Linked DNA regions of Sus scrofa. The protein of the gene in region 4 interacts with the protein of the main gene of each other region in a pairwise test. Links are inferred from orthologs where the notes say so. Each region holds a gene or a part of one and is shown on either strand. Other genes may lie near its edges.

Region 1 (4,011 bases), on a different chromosome or scaffold from region 4:
AAAAATAGGAACTCAATGCTAATGATTTCCCTCACCTAAGAACCAATTCATGAAGAAATTAAATAAGTGATTTTCTAGTTACAGGCTCTGAAAATATAACTATTATTTTTGTTTTTGCTTTTTAGGGCCACACTTGCGGCATATGGAGGTTCCCAGGCTAGGGGTCTAATCAGAGCTACAGCTGCCAGCCTACACCCACAGCCACAGCAACACCAGACCCAAAGCACATCTGTGACCTACACCACAGCTCACAGCAACACTGGATCCTTAAGCCACTGAGCGAGGATCGAACCCACAACCCCATGGTTCCTAGTTCCAGATTCGTTTCCACTGCACCACGATGGGAACTCCTGAAAACATAACTACTGAAAAATGCTTTAAGACCTTTTAATTTAACAGATATGTTATATGCAGGTGGGATTCATGGACTCTGCCTTTTTAAATCAGTATTCGTTACAATTTACTTCTTTTGTCTCCAAAATGCACTACAGTAATTGAAATCTGGTAATCCATTTCCAATGAGAGAAAGCCTGGAGAAAGGACACGGGTATTTCAGAGGATTTCAGGAAGATGACCAAGACTTCTAGCTATAGATTGTTTTTAACAGCCCTGGAAATTCAGTTATTATGTTGTGAGTGGCACTGCCTTCAGGAGCTATGGAAGAGTGATGAAGAGTATCATCAAGAATCCTAGGAGGCAATGAGAAAGTCCCACTCTTCCGTTAACTAGAATTATATCTCACAGAATTATACTTGTCTTTTCTTTTTTTAAGAAACCAAACCACTTTGGAGAATTTCTGTTAATTGGCCAATTTTAGATAAGTTAATATTTTTATAGTTCTATAGATACATATACTCAACCTGATTAAATTAGGGCCCAGGGGCCAATCTGGCACTTAGTATGTTAAAAATAACAACAAAAACAAACTATATATATATTTTATTAACGAATGCCTCAGCTGCCTTATACGAGAGACAACACTAAGCAGAGGGATAACCTCAAACAGTCGGGATGCTTTACTTTTCCCCGCCCCATTTTTAAAATCTTGCGAGAAGAGAATTTCACCCTTTCTAGACTCGGCGCTCTTCGTCCGACGTCACAATCCGGAACTAAAACTACCAATCCCAGAATGCCTTGCGAAGGGGTGGGCTCTCCGGAAGCCGCCGAGTGATTGGCGAGAGGAGGCGTTTCCTTCCGGCGGGAAGAACCCGGGAGGCGGGGACTGGGGGGAGGTGTTCGTAAGCTATTACCGGGTTGGGCTGGCCTGGTCGGGGAGGGGTGTGTGGGTGAACCCTGTGTCCCGTGCCCGCTGAGGAGATGGATGAGGATGGGCTTCCTCTCATGGGGTCAGGCATAGACCTGACTAAGGTTTGTAAAAGATGGAGTTGAACTCAGGTGACCTGGGAGGAGGATGGGGAAGGGACGCCGGGTTCCCAGGGAGACCACATCTCTCTAAGCCCAACGCTGTCCTAGGCCTGTCTCATCTCTCTCCGGAGGGAGAGTCCCATAGTTTGCCCTTTAAAGAGGTCCCTCCTGAGGTAAGGAAGGGCGGGGGCAGTGTAGTGTACCTCTCCCAGGCTTCGCTTCCCAGGTCACGAGTCCCTGTCCTCAAGGGTGAACCACTGGCGACACGGGCCAGTTCCGATTTCTAACCCTACCTCTTTTATTCGGCCCTTAAGGTTTTCGTGTGTTTACGTGTTGCCTATACCTGCGGAAGTTCGCTCTTGTGAATCCAGAGCCCTTTCTCAAACTTTGCAGCATCTGTCATCTTTGAACACCCCACCCCCACAGGTTAGGAAAACAAGTTAATGACTATTGGCAGAACTTCCAGTAACTCATATCACACAGAGAAACGCCCCTTTATTAATATCGAGGGGATTGCACGGTGTACCTTCCTCCTGTACGGATCATGTTTATTTTTACGCAACACAGGTGCCAGCTATTCAACAGAAAAGAACGGTGGCATTTCTAAACCAATTTGTGGTGCACACTGTACAGTTCCTCAACCGCTTTTCTACAGTTTGTGAGGAGGTAGGTCCAGTGGTGTTGGTCTAATGTGTAGCCCAGATATCACCTCGCACTTTTGAAGGTAGCAAATGACTAAAACAAGATTTACAGTCTGTGTATTCATATACCGTGACCTCTTCTCACCCAATTATTATGTTAATATACCTTAAATCCTCTTTGGTTCTATTACCGTCTTCCTGCAGCCCATCTCTGCTGAATTAAACTTCTGAGACTTTTGTGAAGCAGTTCACTAAGGCTTACTGTAATTGAAGATAATAATTGTATTTCACAGTTAAAGACATTTTTTATTTTGAAATTGGTTATGTTTCTCCTACCTCAAAGATTTACGTTTTAGGTGTACATTATTTTACATTGCTTGATCCAAAAGATGATTGAGGAGGTAGCCTAGAAATGTAACTTTGGCATCAAATATCATCATGGAAATAAAAGTAAAAATACGGAGTTCCCTGGTGGTGCAGTGGGTTAAGGACCAGGCCTTGTCACTGCTGTGGCTCATGTTTGATCCCTGGCTCTGGAACTTTTTTATGCCAGAGGTGAGGCCAAAAAAAAAAAATAATAAATAAAATACTTTGTGCATATGACTTATGAAGTAAGGATAAAGTAGCTCAGTTACAGATTAGGTACCAGATCTAGGGACGACTGTCTTATAAAAAGCTAAAAAAGAGAATGGGTTGAAATTAGGTTTAAGAAGGAAGAAAGGGGACAAGGAAATGTTTTGAAACCAAAAGATGGTGTTTTTGCTCAGTTTTCTTTACTTCTTGAGGATTGCGTCAAAACCTAGGGCCCCGTTTTGTTGTCATGAACCACCTGAGTGCTGAAGTTACTGTTCACCCTTTGACTGAGTATCCTCCCCAGTCAAATCCTTGAATTGAAACTGTTCTTGTAGAGGAATTGTTGCTGCCTGAAAGGTGTAAGAGTCAAGATTGTTGTCATTGGGAACAGGATACACATATACACTTTAATGTTAAAGAAAACCCCCCCATTGGTATCATGGTATTTCTCTATGCTTGCAAATTCTACTTTCCAAAAGTTCAGTGACCACTTAAAGCTAAATACGCTTTTAGGGATGATTTAAACAGAAATTAAAATGATTTCATTAAGAAGTCAAGGTCTGGGAGTTCCCGTTGTGGCGCAGTGGTTAACGAATCCTACTGGGAACCATGAGGTTGCGGGTTCGGTCCCTGCCCTTGCTCAGTGGGTTAACGATCCGGCGTTGCCGTGAGCTGTGGTGTAGGTTGCAGACGCGGCTCAGATCCCGCGTTGCTGTGGCTCTGGCGTAGGCCGGTGGCTACAGTTCCGATTCAACCCCTAGCCTGGGAACCTCCATATGCTGCGGGAGCGGCCCAAGAAATCGCAACAACAACAACAACAAAGACAAAAAAAAAAAAAAAAGAAGTCAAGGTCTGGAGTTCCCTTGGGGCACAGCAATTTAAGGATCTGGTACTGTCACTGTCTGGCTTGTGGCGCTGCTGCGGCATGGGTTTAATCCCTGAAAAAAAAACAAACAAACAAAAAAAATCAAGGCCTGCTTCATGAAATACCGTGAGAATACCTAGAGACTTCCCAGTCCTAGCCATTCTCCTACTTTTTGTACAATATGTGATGTATCTCCATTCCAGTTGCATTTTGATTGACACAATAAAAATGTTTCCAAGAAGTTAACTAGTAAATACCAATTTTTGTCAGTTGAATTATTGTTAACTTGTGCTTGTGAAGCTATTGTAAAAATCTTATTAATTTTTGAAAATCAAATAAACCCACCCCCCCAAAAAAAAAGAGAAAAGAGGAAAATGTGATAATCACAGCTGAGTCAGTTAAACAATATTTAGTTCGTTATGTCTTATATATAACATAAGGTAGGGAATCAGCATATAGTTTTTGTTAGATATGTTATTAATAAAAATTGCATGGAGCCAGGAAAACTGTTTTCGTCTGTATAAGATTCCAGCTGTTCTTTTGTCTAGTTATCAAAATCACTTCTGC
Region 2 (4,057 bases), about 39 Mb from region 4:
TTCCAAGGCCTGGGGTGGCTGGCCCGGAGGCGTTAGGCAGGTGACCCTCCGGCCCTGGCTCACCCCTCCCTGATGATCCTCTCAGTGTCACTGGCCACATGGTAGTAGCTAATGACGTGGTCCAGACAGGACAGCGTCTTCTCAACATTCTCCTGCAGCCGCTGCAGGTTCTCCGTCTGTTTGTGCACGGGGATGATGGAATTCTCCAGCTTCATGAGGCGACTCTCAAAGGACGACAGGATAGACACCTGCAGGGGGAGGGCAGCCCCGTGCTCGCAGACCGCCGGGTGGTCCCCAAGCCGCTTCTGCCACCCACCGGGTCTTTGGCATTTGCTGCCTTTTTCTACGGTTTTCTAGACAACCAGGCCCATGAGGGAAGGGACGGGGGACATCTCTTCCCCACTGAATCCCCAGCAGCTACCGCGTGCCCGGCACACAGGAGGTAGCCCACATCAATTAATGTGAAGGCAAGCCAGGCATGAAATTAATTCCTCCGCAGATAATCACTTCAGAATGCTTCTCGTCCACCCTCCGAAGCCAAAGCTCAATTTCTATTCTCTCTGGAGCGTTCTAGACTGAACAGGAAGTAGTTTCATACAGAGTAGCCTCAAATGCATTGCTGGTACCTTCCTAACCCTTTCTAAGGGTGAATCTCATTAAATAAGAACTAGCAGGAGTTCCCGTGATGGCGCAGTGGTTAACGAATCTGACTAGGAACCATGAGGTTGCGGGTTCGGTCCCTGCCTTGCTCAGTGGGTTAAGGATCCGGCGTTGCCATGAGCTGCGGTGTAGGTCGCAGATGAGGCTGGGATCTGGTGTGGCTGTGGCTGTGGCTGTGGGTAGGCCAGCAGCTGCAGCTCCGATTCGACCCCTAGCCTGGGAACCTCCATGTGCCACAGGAGCGGCCCTAGAAAAGACAAAAAGAAAAAAAGAAAGAACTAGCAGTTGCTGACTGTGTTACTAAACAGCCTATGTTTTTCCAGTCTCCTCTAGGAATAAGGAAGAAACTCATACTTATTGACACGTCCCTTTGCACTAGCTTCTGTGACCTTCAGAGCTATGGGAGGCTGGCATCATCTCTGTTTCAGCTGACAAGTTAACTGAGGATCAGAGTTACCTGTCAGCAAGCTATACGCGGACAAGTGGAGGGGCAAGGACTAGATCCCAGATCTGACTTCAGAGCTCATTTTACCCCTCAAGCCCTCTGGAGTGAAAGGTGAGTCAGTAATCTCAGAAGGGGTAACCTGCCACTCCTGGGCATCTATCCAGAGAAAACCATGACTCGAAAAGATACTTGTACTCCAATGTGCACTGCAGCACTATACACAATAACCAAGACATGGAAACAACCTAAATGTCCATGGACAGAGGAGTGGATAACGAAGATGTGGTACATATACACCATGGAATATTACTCAGCCGTTAAAAGGAAAGAAAGAACGGCATTTGCAACAACATGGATGGACCTAGAAATGATCATGCTACGTGAAGTGAGTCAGACAGTGAGACACCCACATCAAATGCTCTCACTTATGTGTGGAATCTAAAAAAAGCACACAATGAACTTCTTTGCAGAACAGATGCTGACTCGCAGACTTGGAAAAACTTACGGTTGCCAAAGGAGACAGGTTGGGGGTGGAGGGATGGGCTGGGGGTTTGGGATGGAAATGCTATAAAATTTGGTTGTGATGATCGTTGTACAACTATAAACGTAATAAAATTCACTGCGTTAAAAAAAAAAAAAAATGGAGTTCCCGTCGTGGCGCAGTGGTTAACGAATCCGACTAAGAACCAGGAGGTTGCGGGTTCGGTCCCTGCCCTTGCTCAGTGGGTTAACGATCCGGCGTTGCCGTGAGCTGTGGTGTAGGTTGCAGACGCGGCTCGGATCCCGCGTTGCTGTGGCTCTGGCGTAGGCCGGTGGCTACAGCTGCGATTGGACCCCTAGCCTGGGAACCTCCATATGCCGCGGGAGCGGCCCAAGAAATAGCAACAATAACAACAACAACAACAAAAACAAAAAGACAAAAGACAAAAAAAAAAAAAAAGAAGTGGTAACCTGGCCATCCTACCCTCACTTGAATTGAGGGTGACACATGGCCAGCATCCAACCCACTTAGGTCAGTCTCACTAAGTGTTTGCAGAGGAGAGAAGGAAGCATGGAGAACTTAGGCAGAGATCAGAAAGTCCAGGCCAGCGGGGACTGCAGCATCTGAGGCCAAGGGGCTGACAAGGGGTAAGAGACGTGCCACACTGCTGCGGGAGAAACCCACGCGTCACGGCTGTCACTACCCAGACCAGAACCCCAGCCCTTAGGTCCAGGCACGACCGGGTCGCAGGGTCTCCTCCAGCGCCTGGAAGCCCCCCCAGCTGAGGAGGGGTTACTCACCATGTTCTTGGTGAGCTGGTCGCTCTTCTCCAGACTGTCTCGGATGAAGGACAGCGTCTCCTCCTCCTGGGGGGAGCGCAAAGGAGGACATCACCAGAAGCCGGAGGCTAAAGGAGCTCACCGCTCCCGTGGTCTCGCCCCCTACTCAGTCTCCTGGCAGGGAGTGTCCCCTTCCCACTCCTGACGCCTCCCTGAGTGGATGCCTGGCCCGGATCTCGGCCCCTTCCCCTCCCCCGCCTCCCAGTGCCAGCCCCACCTGCTTCAGCTTGTCCTCGATCTCCCGCCGCCGGGCGGACGCCTCCTGCGGGGGGATCATGGCTTCGACTCTGCGACTCCCACTGCCCAGTACCTCGTCCCAGCTGACCCTCTCGGCTCCCGTTCCTGTCACACCTACTTCCGCCCGTGGCCCCGCCCCGGGGCGCGCTAGTGGTGCCATATTGGGAGTGGCAGGTGGAAGTGCGCCTGCGTAGAACTCAGTACAGCGGTCTGGAGTGGCCATCTTGAGTGTGGCAGGGAGGTGTGGCCTGGATTCTCCTAGGTGAAGGGATTGCTGTTCTCATCAGAGAAGGTTCTTGGGTGGTGTTTTGTCCTGTCGCTGGCAGAACAGTAACAGCTCACTTGGCCGTCTTCGGGGGAAGGTTTACGCCTTTCACAAAATCAATGACGAACTCCTTTCTCCAGATCGAAGTCTGAATCCAGGCACCAATGTCGCCTTTCCCACAAAACGCAGCACAGAGCTTGTCACACACTAGATACCCAATTGTGCCCATTTAATGAACCAAGGACCTGTGTAGTGTCCCTCTTTGGCCCTAAAAGCTCACGGAACAGGCCCAGTGTGCAAGTAACTAGGTTTTGCAGTGGATCCAGAGCATACGTACCTGCAGTAACCTTGAACCAGTCCCCTACCCTCTCCCAACCCCACCCCCGGCCACGCCCCCAAGCTGTATTTAGAGGAGACCCCGCCAAGGAGTTGAGACATTCCGGCAGCCGCAGGAACCAAGGCTTTCTGATTTCCTCCAAGGCCCGTGAGAAATGCTCCCCGTGTGTCTGAATGCATGCATGCCTCAGTCTCTCCCTAAGGACACCACCACCCTGGGCCCCAAGCCCTTAGACAGGTCTCAGATCTCTCAGGCTTCGCCTTGCACTGTTTGCAGACTTATAGTTCTCTACCCACAGCCTGGTCCTCACCAACCCCGCCAGTAAAACCACACAGCCCTCTCCAAAGCAGACACCCTGGCCGGGCTGGGTGGCTCACAAGTCAGGATTATGGTTTCAGATGCTGTTGGGGCCATGGGTGAGCACTCTGTCCCCGACCCCGAGCCTGGGAACCTCCATATACTGTGGGTGCGGCCCTAAAAAGACCAAAAGAAGAAAAATTAAATAAATAAATAAAAGAATGAAAAGACCAGTTTCGGTGATTCCCAGCCCAATGTCAGGCACATGCTGTTGGCAGTGGACACTGATTTGGTAAAAGCTGTGATTCCCTAACTATACTCAGCACAAGCTGCTTCAGCCAAAGGAGAAAGCGGTGTTTCAGCTGCAGCCTCGGTTGCTTGGCTTTCATTCCCAAACTTGTTCAGAGCACAAATGTGAGGGTCGCCTAGAGGCCCCAACTGCCCAACTCTCAGGGATGCTCTTTCTGGGGGGTGGGGGATAGGGAGGAAGCAAGAG
Region 3 (4,069 bases), on a different chromosome or scaffold from region 4:
TTTTTTTGTTAGGTAAACCATTTACATTTTCAAAAACTATAAGAGGTGTTTATACTGCAGAGTCTTCATCCATCTCCTTGCCACCCAATTCATCTTTTCAGAGGCAACCAAAGCTGGAGTTCCCGTCATGGCTCAGTGGTTAATGAATCCGACTAGGAACCATGAGGTTGCAGGGTTCCATCCCTGGCCTCTCTCAGTGAGTTAAGGATCCGGAGTTGCCGTGAGCTGTGGTGTAGGTCACAGACGTGGCTTGGATCTGGTGTTGCTGTGGCTCAGGTGTAGGCCAGCAGCAATAGCTCCGATTGGACCCCTAGCCTGGGAACCTCCATATGCCTCGGGTGCCACCTTAGAAAAGACAAAAAACAAAAACAGAGGCAACCACTGCTATTCATTTTTAAAATGTATCTTTCCAGGAATATTGTATATGAATGTGGGTAATTATATATTCAGGCCCTCCTTTTTTCCCAAATTGTAGAATACCATGTACTGTGCTCTAAATTGTGTTTGTATCATTTACTTTTAAGATCTTTCTTTTCTGTACCTGAAGAGCTTGAGTGTTCCCACTGCATAGCTGAATAGTATTCCTTTGTATGAATGCAACTATTTAAGCAAACTGAGGTTTGTTTCGAATCATTTGTTATAAAAAATGCTGGAACAGGTAACCTTGCAGGCCACTAATTTTGCCAAATCATTTACAAGATCAATTCCTAGAAACAGCATTGCTAGATCCAAGGACAACTATGATTTTGATAGACACAATGGTTTGTTTTTATTTTTATTAAAGTTATACAAGCATATAAATAGAAGAATCAAATAATTCTACAAAGTTTCTACTAAGAATTCTAAAACAAAACGAAACAGAAACACCCAAAGCTACTTGGATATCATTCTCAGAGGCACTTTTAGCCTGTTTTTTTTTTTTTTTTCCCACTACTACCCCACGGCTCTAAGTGACAAACAAGCTGTTTCGTGAGTTTTCAGTTTTGATAACCACTGACTCTCCACTGGGAAGAACGAGGATTTAGCTTTCTCTGCTACCCTGCCTTCATTGCACACTTGTAGTCAGCCTTTTGCGCATCTTCTCCAAGAGTCCTCGGGCCGCACGCCGGGGTGAGCTTTCCAGCGTGTCACGCTGGTTGTGACGCCCCACGCCGCGTGGAGCCGCCAGGTCCCGGAAGCTAGCCAGCCAGGGGCGTTCCCTCTCCATCCTCCGCCCCCTACGCTTTTCGAACGTTCCGGCCTCTTAGGCTGGGTCAGAAAGGGGCGGAACTCCGTACTCCTGGCGCGGTTTCCCTGCCGGATCGAAAAGCCAAGCGCACCAAGTGTCGCGGGAGCAGGCCCGCAGCAGCACCTTGGTCCCCTGCTCCCGCGACATGGCTTTCAACTTTGCGGCTCCCTCGGGCAGCTCAGGTACCGCTGCAGCCACCGCAGCCCCCGCGGGTGAGTCATTCCCCCCAGACCTTCTCCCGGGGAAAAGGGGAGGCCTTGGGTCCGAGACTCTTGAGCTTGGGGGAACCTGGGGTCTCCTGCCCGCGCGCAGATTTTAGGGGCTTTGGAAAAGGCAGGCGGCGGCCGAGCGGGCCGAGACGGCTCCTGAGGAGGCCACGCGGGGGATAGAGGCCCAGCTGGGAGCTCGCGTGCATCGGGTGGGTCCCCGCATGGCCCACCCCTTCTAGCGCTCGCTTCCCGCCACCGGGGAGACGGATTCCAAGAGGCTGGAGGCGGCTCCTCGCTCCCTTTGCCGGGCCCGCCCTCTCATCCCCTCCCCTTCCCGGGCTCCGGGACCGGCGGGCGCGCTCGGGTGCTTCCCGCTGCTGGGCGGCGAGGGTAGCGCTGGAGAACCTCCGGGCTGCTCTGCGGCTCCCTCGGCCCTGGCCCCTCTGGCTCTTGCTGCGGGACTGCACGTACCTGCTCCTTCTCCTGCCCCGCCTCCTCCGCTTTCTTAATTCGTTTGGAGCCAAGTCAGGGTTTGTCTTTGTTCACTCTGTGAAACCTCCTGCTGACTCTTCTAATCCTTATCTTGCTTTCTTTTCTTTTTCTTCTTCCTTCTTTCCCCTCTCCCCTTTTAAAATTTTCTTTGCCTACACGCCTATCAGGATTTGGTGGGCTTGAGACTGCCAACTCCACCGCCAGTGGGTTTAATTTTGGGGGTTTCGGATTAACTGCTAATCCTGCAGTGAACTTTAATATTGGGAATTTCGGTGTTTCTACTACTTCGGCGACTCCTTTCAATTTTGGTAACAGTCTGGCAAGTGCAGGTAGATATGCGGGCCGTCTGTGTAACGAATGTTGGGAGCTGGAGTCCAAGAATATTTTGTAGTTGCTAGAGTTTGGGAAAGAACAGTGACTTGTCTAATAAGGAAAGGAAATTAGTTTCCTAATGTCGATTTAAAAACATTTGTATCAAGTTTTGACTCTTAAAAAGATTTGATTTTGAGAAACCTTTCAAGTTATTATCTTCGTCTGTTAAATTTGCATTTAATTGAACAGACTGTACCTTCCAAGTGATAAGAATTTGGAGTACGTTATTATTGGGAATAGAATACATCTTCCAAATTATTAGATATCTCTTTTAAAGTATAAGATCAACAGTCAGACCCATTTTCCTGAAATTCTTGGACTTCTGCGGTCGTTTTTTTCTCCACTTTTCCTGCACCTTTCATTGGAATTTCATTTGATTGTCTTTGTGTTTCCTGAGAGAAACAAGTCTTATACGAACAGCAGCAACCTGTCTTGTTTTTTAACCTGTGTAACAATAATTATTTTTTTGGTCAACTAAGCAGATGAGGATACATTTCTATAAGATAATGTAATTATTGAAAGAACCTCCAAGTCTTAAGTGGATTTTTTGAGAAGTGATCAGAGAGTATCTTAATTTGTCAGATAACATTGAGTTCTAAAAGGTAGGCTAGACATCTTTGCACTCAAAAAGCTAATTATGAAGATTTTGGTAACTATATGGATTGTTTGAAGCTCATTGCAAATTGTGCAAAATACAAACTATTCTCTGTGTGTGTATATTTATTTATATACATAAATTTAAAACAGGTATGTGTACCTCGCCTACAGTGACCCTATAGAAAAAGTCTTGTTCCTCAGCTGCTCGTATATGAATTTATTGTCCATATTCTCTTACATTCCACTGTGTATGCCCATGCCAATTATATGCATTTGGTAAACATGTCTTTTCCATGAGACTTATTTGAGAAATTTGGCATTTTGTGCAATCACTTTTTTTTTTTTTTGCAATTTGCATTCAATTTGAAAAAGTTTTGAAGGATACTTGAAAATTCCAAAGATGAAATAATCCATTATCATTAAGGTATATTTAAAATGATCACACATCACTGTTGTTTGGTATGTTTACTTTCCCCTCTTTGCTTAAAATTGGCACTGGGTAAAAGAGAAACATTGTTTTGAAATTTATGTTTCCAAACAAACCTACCCAGCTCTTGATTCAACAATAAATAAACCTTTGGTATTTGCTTGATTTCATGTTCATTTGGAGTTATTACTGTTCAGTTCTGAGTTGCGATAATATAACTGTGTTTTAACGACTTTTATGTACATTAACTTAGTCTTCAGCAATAGGACTGATAGACATTCTTGTTTACTTTTTTTTATCCTTGCAGATCCATTATTACTAATAAACATTTTTCGTATTAGGAGTATGTTAGGATAGTTACTAATGTTTTTATTGCATAGCCAATTCAGAATATATCTTAGTTTTTCTATGAAATTTATAAGTAATGAAAAAGATTAGGAACAATGTTCAGTATGTTAGGTGGTACTTATCAAATTGTTTACAATTTGTAGTATTGCAGTAGAACCTACAAGTAGTAGAATATTTGGTTGTGCCTGCATGCAACATGTAGTCTATTCTTGAATAATTTTCTAAGACAGAATTATGTGATTACCACCAATGGGTTGAGTCTTCATTTTCCTTCTTATATTTTGTGTTACAATATTGACAAATCTGTCTCTTATGCCAGAAATACATGAGATTAAAGGTTAGAATCCCAGAAGTCTGTGGCATAACTCAGGGAGCACTAATGGTTCAAACATTTGT
Region 4 (4,168 bases):
TCATCATCATCTCCTCTAAGTCTAACCCAGAAATGTGCTTAGCAGAATGCTATGCACATTCTGAAGTATTTAATATGTCAGTGTGTTAGACTGAAATTGTCCCTGAAAAGATTTAGGTAGGTCCCTGTGAAGAGAGTCCAAGGAAGCGCCAGAGCAGGTGCTGTATGAAATGCCGAATTCCTCTGGTGGCTGGTTCAGTAGGGATGAGATGAGCCCCCACCAGCGGATTGCCCAATCAGTAAGTAAACCTGAATGGTATGAGGTCACCTTACCTTCCTCCGCCCACCCCAAAGGAATAAATCCACCCCTTAACAGCGGCTGCCAACAGAGGAAGACAAATCCAAGCTAATCTCTTCTTTTTCCTACAAAGCAATTGCTTTGAGCCCATGGATGACATCAGCCCAGATTCCACCCGCTCAGATTCCGCCCAGGCCAATGGGTTCCTGGAATCCTGTGGCAGGTGACGCCCCAGAAAGTAATTCCAGTGAGAATGAAGTTTCCACTGAGAGCCTCAGTGCTCTTCCTTCCGGACTTTGTGTGTGGGTATTTGGGGATGCTAGGGGCGTATCCGTGTCACGCTCGGTGAAGCTAATGGGAACCCAAGCCGAATAAAGGCCAAACAAACAAGGCGGTGATAGAAGTGGGGTCCTAAGGAAAGAAGGTCCGAGAAACCCATCACACGGAGCATGGCGAGAGGAGGAGCCGATCCCCTACAGAGGGGGGAATCTAGCAGAAATCCAAGGGTGTAAATCCAAGCGTGTAAATCTCATGCTTCAGCCAAAGGGTTTGGGGAAATTTAGCGAGACTCAACCTCTCTGTGGCCACTGTAGAGTCTTCCTCAACCCGTACCCCGCCTCACCACCGAGAAACCGAGACCGGCTCTAACACCCACCCAAAGGATTTGAGATCTCCACCTCCCTTCGCCGTCCCACGCCTTTTCCCCAGGACCGGGTAGGGTTCTCTTGGCTCAGCCCAGGACCCGTCCATCCCTTCCCCTAGGGCATGGGCAGACTCGGCTCTCACCCTCCCTGGTGGCGCTTCTCCTCTCAGCTGGGTTGCAAGTCGACACCGCGCCGCCCCTAGACCACCGCTTGCCCGCCAGCAATCTCGGGCGGTAAACTCACATTCACCACCCCCGGACTCCGCCCCCAGGCGGCCAGGGCCTGAGACTGTGAGGCCGGGCAGACATAGCACCCAATCAGGGCGGAGGGAGGAGCCCCCAAGAGTATTCCGCAGCGAGCGTACACCTACTTCAGGCCGACTTTCCGGCGCAAAGACCTCTGGGTCTTGTAGGCAGCCATCCCTCTTCCCAGGCCTCTGTCTCCCAGCATGCTCTGCCAGCTGGATGGGTGTAAGTGCTTCCTGTGCCCGGAAGTGACGTTAGGCGTAAACAGGTCTTGTAGCCGTGGCAGCGGCTGAGGCAAGCTGGCTGGCTGGGTACCGGCTGCCCTGACGCGAGAGGGGAGTTGCCTGCGGACCTCAGCCTGAGCCGCAGGCGCTGCCGCTGCGGGGTGGACAGGTAGGCTGTGACTTCGGGTCGGGGATGGGCCCGGGGCAGGAAGAGCCTGACAGGCCCGCGCCCCGAGGAAAAGCAGTCCCAGGGCGAAAGAAATGTGGGAATTCCTCCCGACTCTGGGAGCGGTTTTACCCGGGCTTGGGCCTCGAGCTTTTCGCTCTGACGCTCGCAACCCTCCTAGGAGGAAACTGCGGCTCAGATAAGTTCAAGGAGTTTACGTAGTGAAGACAACCAGCCCCATCACCCAGCTTTTCCTAACTTTCTCCACACCGCGCGGGTGGAGGTAGCGGCCAGCGTAGAGCCAGAGCCAGGGTGGTGGTGGGGATGGTGGGGGGACGAGAGCGCGACGTCCTTCTCATCTTCAGGGAACTCAATTCGGCCTTTATACCCAGTGTTCCTCAGATGAGCGTGCGGTGGGAGTTGGGAGAGAATCCGGTAGTCGGCTGCGAACCCTCTCTCTCCACTTCTTCAGGCCCGATCCATCTCATTCAACCATCCCTTCCAACCATACATCTGGCTCAAGCCAGATGCATGGGAATCTTACCTGACTCTCCTTCACTCCTCTCCAAACCCCTACTTTCATTCATCCTTTACTAAGTCCTATCAACTCGACTTTACCAAACAATTCGGAACACTTTCCTTCAGCTCCAAGCCTTGGTTACTGTAATAGCCTGCTCTGGTGTTTTTGTTTTTCTTGCCTCTTTTTAGGGCCGCACTCGCCGCATATGGAGATTCCCAGGCTAGGGGCTGAATCGAAGCTACAGCTGCCGGCCTACACCACAGCCACACCAGATCGGATCTGCCACCTACACCACAGCTCACCTCAACACGTGGGATCCTTAACCCAATGAGAGGGGCCAGGGATCTAACCCTCAACCTCATGGTTCCTAGTCAGATTGGTTTCTGCTGCGCCACAATGGGAACTCCTAGCCTGCTCTGTTTTAGCAGTCATTCATACCACAAACATTTGCTGAGTGCAAGTTCTATGCAGGCACTATGCTAGATGCTAGGGTAGCAGTGATGAACAAATAGGAGTAGCCCCATCTCTTTTCCCCCCCAGCTCGTTCTCCATCCTGGGTCATTGATCTCCAAAATAGCCACATTTGATGATGCCAGTCTGCTTAGAATCCTCTGGCTACCTTTATGAGAAAATGTAGGCTCAATACCGCAGCTTTCAGAGCCCTTCATCATCCAGTGCTAGCCTCCCCATCTTGCCCCATCTCATTCTCTCCCCCTTGCTCAGTGTTTCAACCATACTAGCCTTTCAGCTTGTGGAACACGTTAAATTTTTTACAGCCTCAGAGTCTTCCAGTCTTCACACAAGCTTTCCCTTCTGCCTGGAATACCTCCTCCTTGCTTCAGTTGGCAAGCTTTTGAACATCCTTTAGGTCTCATTTTAAGTGTCACTTCTTTTCTTTCTATGGCTGCACCTGTGACATATGGAAGTTCCCAGAGCTAGGGGTGGAATCCGAGCTGCAGCTGAGGCCTATGCCTGCAGCCATGGCAACATGGGATCCAGGCTGCATCTGTGATCCCATTGCTGGGGATCCTTAACTCACTGAGCAAGGCCAGGGGTCGAACCTGCAACCTCACAGAGACAACGTCAGGTTCTTAACCCGCTGAGCCACAACAGGAACTCCCAAATGTCACATTTTAGAAGAATTTTGTGTATAAATTTTTATGTAATTTTGTTTACATATGAATTATGTCCTCCTGCTATGGCTTCACATAGCAACATGTGCTTTTCCTCATACCATGATCACAGTTTGTGATTGGACCGTCTGTCCAGAGGTCAGAAACTAAAGAATTAAGGCATTTTCTTCACTCCTTTATCCCCAGAGCAGGGACTCAGTAGATGTTTGTGAATAAATCCACGCTCTTAGAAGGGAGTGGAAGTGGAAGCACCTTTGTGCGCGCAGATTACTTGAAGCTTTCTAGAGCAGCTGGTCTGGTAAATCACCTGTTAGGTGTTAGTGTTCAGACTATATGTGTAACTAGGACAAATGGGGAGACAGTTCTTTTTATTTTTATTTATTTTTTTAATGTGCTTCTCTCAGCGCCTTTCACCAGACCTTGACTTGTGTTGTGGTCTAAGCAAAACTGAGCTTCCTATTCTAACATCTTTTGTTACATATTTAAGATAAGTTTACAGTTCCTAATGGAATTCCTGTCGTGGCGCAGTGGTTAACGAATCCGACTAGGAACCATGAGGTTGAGGGTTCGATCCCTGGCCTTGCTCAGTGGGTTAAGGATCCAGCATTGCTGTGAGCTGTGGTGTAGGTTGCAGATGTGGCTCAGATCCTGCGTTGCTATGGCTCTTGTGTAGGCCAGCAGATACAGCTCCGATTGGACCCCTATCCTGGGAACTTCCATATGCCGCGGGAGTGGCCCTAGAAAAGGCAAAAAGACAAAAAAAAAGGTGACAGTGCTTTTTAAAAAGCCCAATTATAAGGAAGCTTTGGATGATTAAAATGTTTTAAAGGGAAGATGCTAGCTTACTTACTTGAGTGGATTCCAGTGAGGCTAAAGGCTCTGGACCACAGTCGTGTACAGCCAGACGCGTATAAGTTGGACCACACGGTGTTGGATGTGTTTTTCCCTCCCTTACTTAAACTTTTTGAATTAGAAGGAAATCAGTGTTTCCTACCCAGA

What was found. The genes of interacting proteins can lie anywhere in the genome.
Region 1: the proteins of IFT20 (region 4) and WASHC3 interact in binary tests that used the Homo sapiens proteins (3 or more experiments, as listed by UniProt). The two-hybrid records come from large-scale screens. The link is inferred for Sus scrofa from reciprocal best matches to the Homo sapiens genes IFT20 and WASHC3.
Region 2: the proteins of IFT20 (region 4) and EXOC7 interact in binary tests that used the Homo sapiens proteins (3 or more experiments, as listed by UniProt). The two-hybrid records come from large-scale screens. The link is inferred for Sus scrofa from reciprocal best matches to the Homo sapiens genes IFT20 and EXOC7.
Region 3: the proteins of IFT20 (region 4) and NUP54 interact in binary tests that used the Homo sapiens proteins (3 or more experiments, as listed by UniProt). The two-hybrid records come from large-scale screens. The link is inferred for Sus scrofa from reciprocal best matches to the Homo sapiens genes IFT20 and NUP54.

Annotation. Positions count from the first base shown.
Region 1 is NC_010447.5:82,154,062-82,158,072, forward strand, and holds the start of WASHC3 (WASH complex subunit 3), read left to right. Parts: upstream 1-1,211; 5' UTR 1,212-1,317; coding exon 1,318-1,368; intron 1,369-1,679; exon of another isoform or gene 1,680-1,791; intron 1,792-1,932; coding exon 1,933-2,031; intron 2,032-4,011. UniProt on the Homo sapiens protein: Acts as a component of the WASH core complex that functions as a nucleation-promoting factor (NPF) at the surface of endosomes, where it recruits and activates the Arp2/3 complex to induce actin polymerization, playing a key role in the fission of tubules that serve as transport intermediates during endosome sorting.
Region 2 is NC_010454.4:5,330,238-5,334,294, reverse strand, and holds the start of EXOC7 (exocyst complex component 7), read right to left. Parts: upstream 2,801-4,057; 5' UTR 2,703-2,800; coding exon 2,643-2,702; intron 2,453-2,642; coding exon 2,387-2,452; intron 249-2,386; coding exon 64-248; intron 1-63. UniProt on the Homo sapiens protein: Component of the exocyst complex involved in the docking of exocytic vesicles with fusion sites on the plasma membrane.
Region 3 is NC_010450.4:71,830,372-71,834,440, reverse strand, and holds the start of NUP54 (nucleoporin p54), read left to right. Parts: upstream 1-1,269; 5' UTR 1,270-1,373; coding exon 1,374-1,440; intron 1,441-2,096; coding exon 2,097-2,258; intron 2,259-4,069. UniProt on the Homo sapiens protein: Component of the nuclear pore complex, a complex required for the trafficking across the nuclear membrane.
Region 4 is NC_010454.4:44,613,884-44,618,051, reverse strand, and holds the start of IFT20 (intraflagellar transport protein 20 homolog), read left to right. Parts: upstream 1-1,368; 5' UTR 1,369-1,519; intron 1,520-4,168. UniProt on the Homo sapiens protein: Part of intraflagellar transport (IFT) particles involved in ciliary process assembly. May play a role in the trafficking of ciliary membrane proteins from the Golgi complex to the cilium.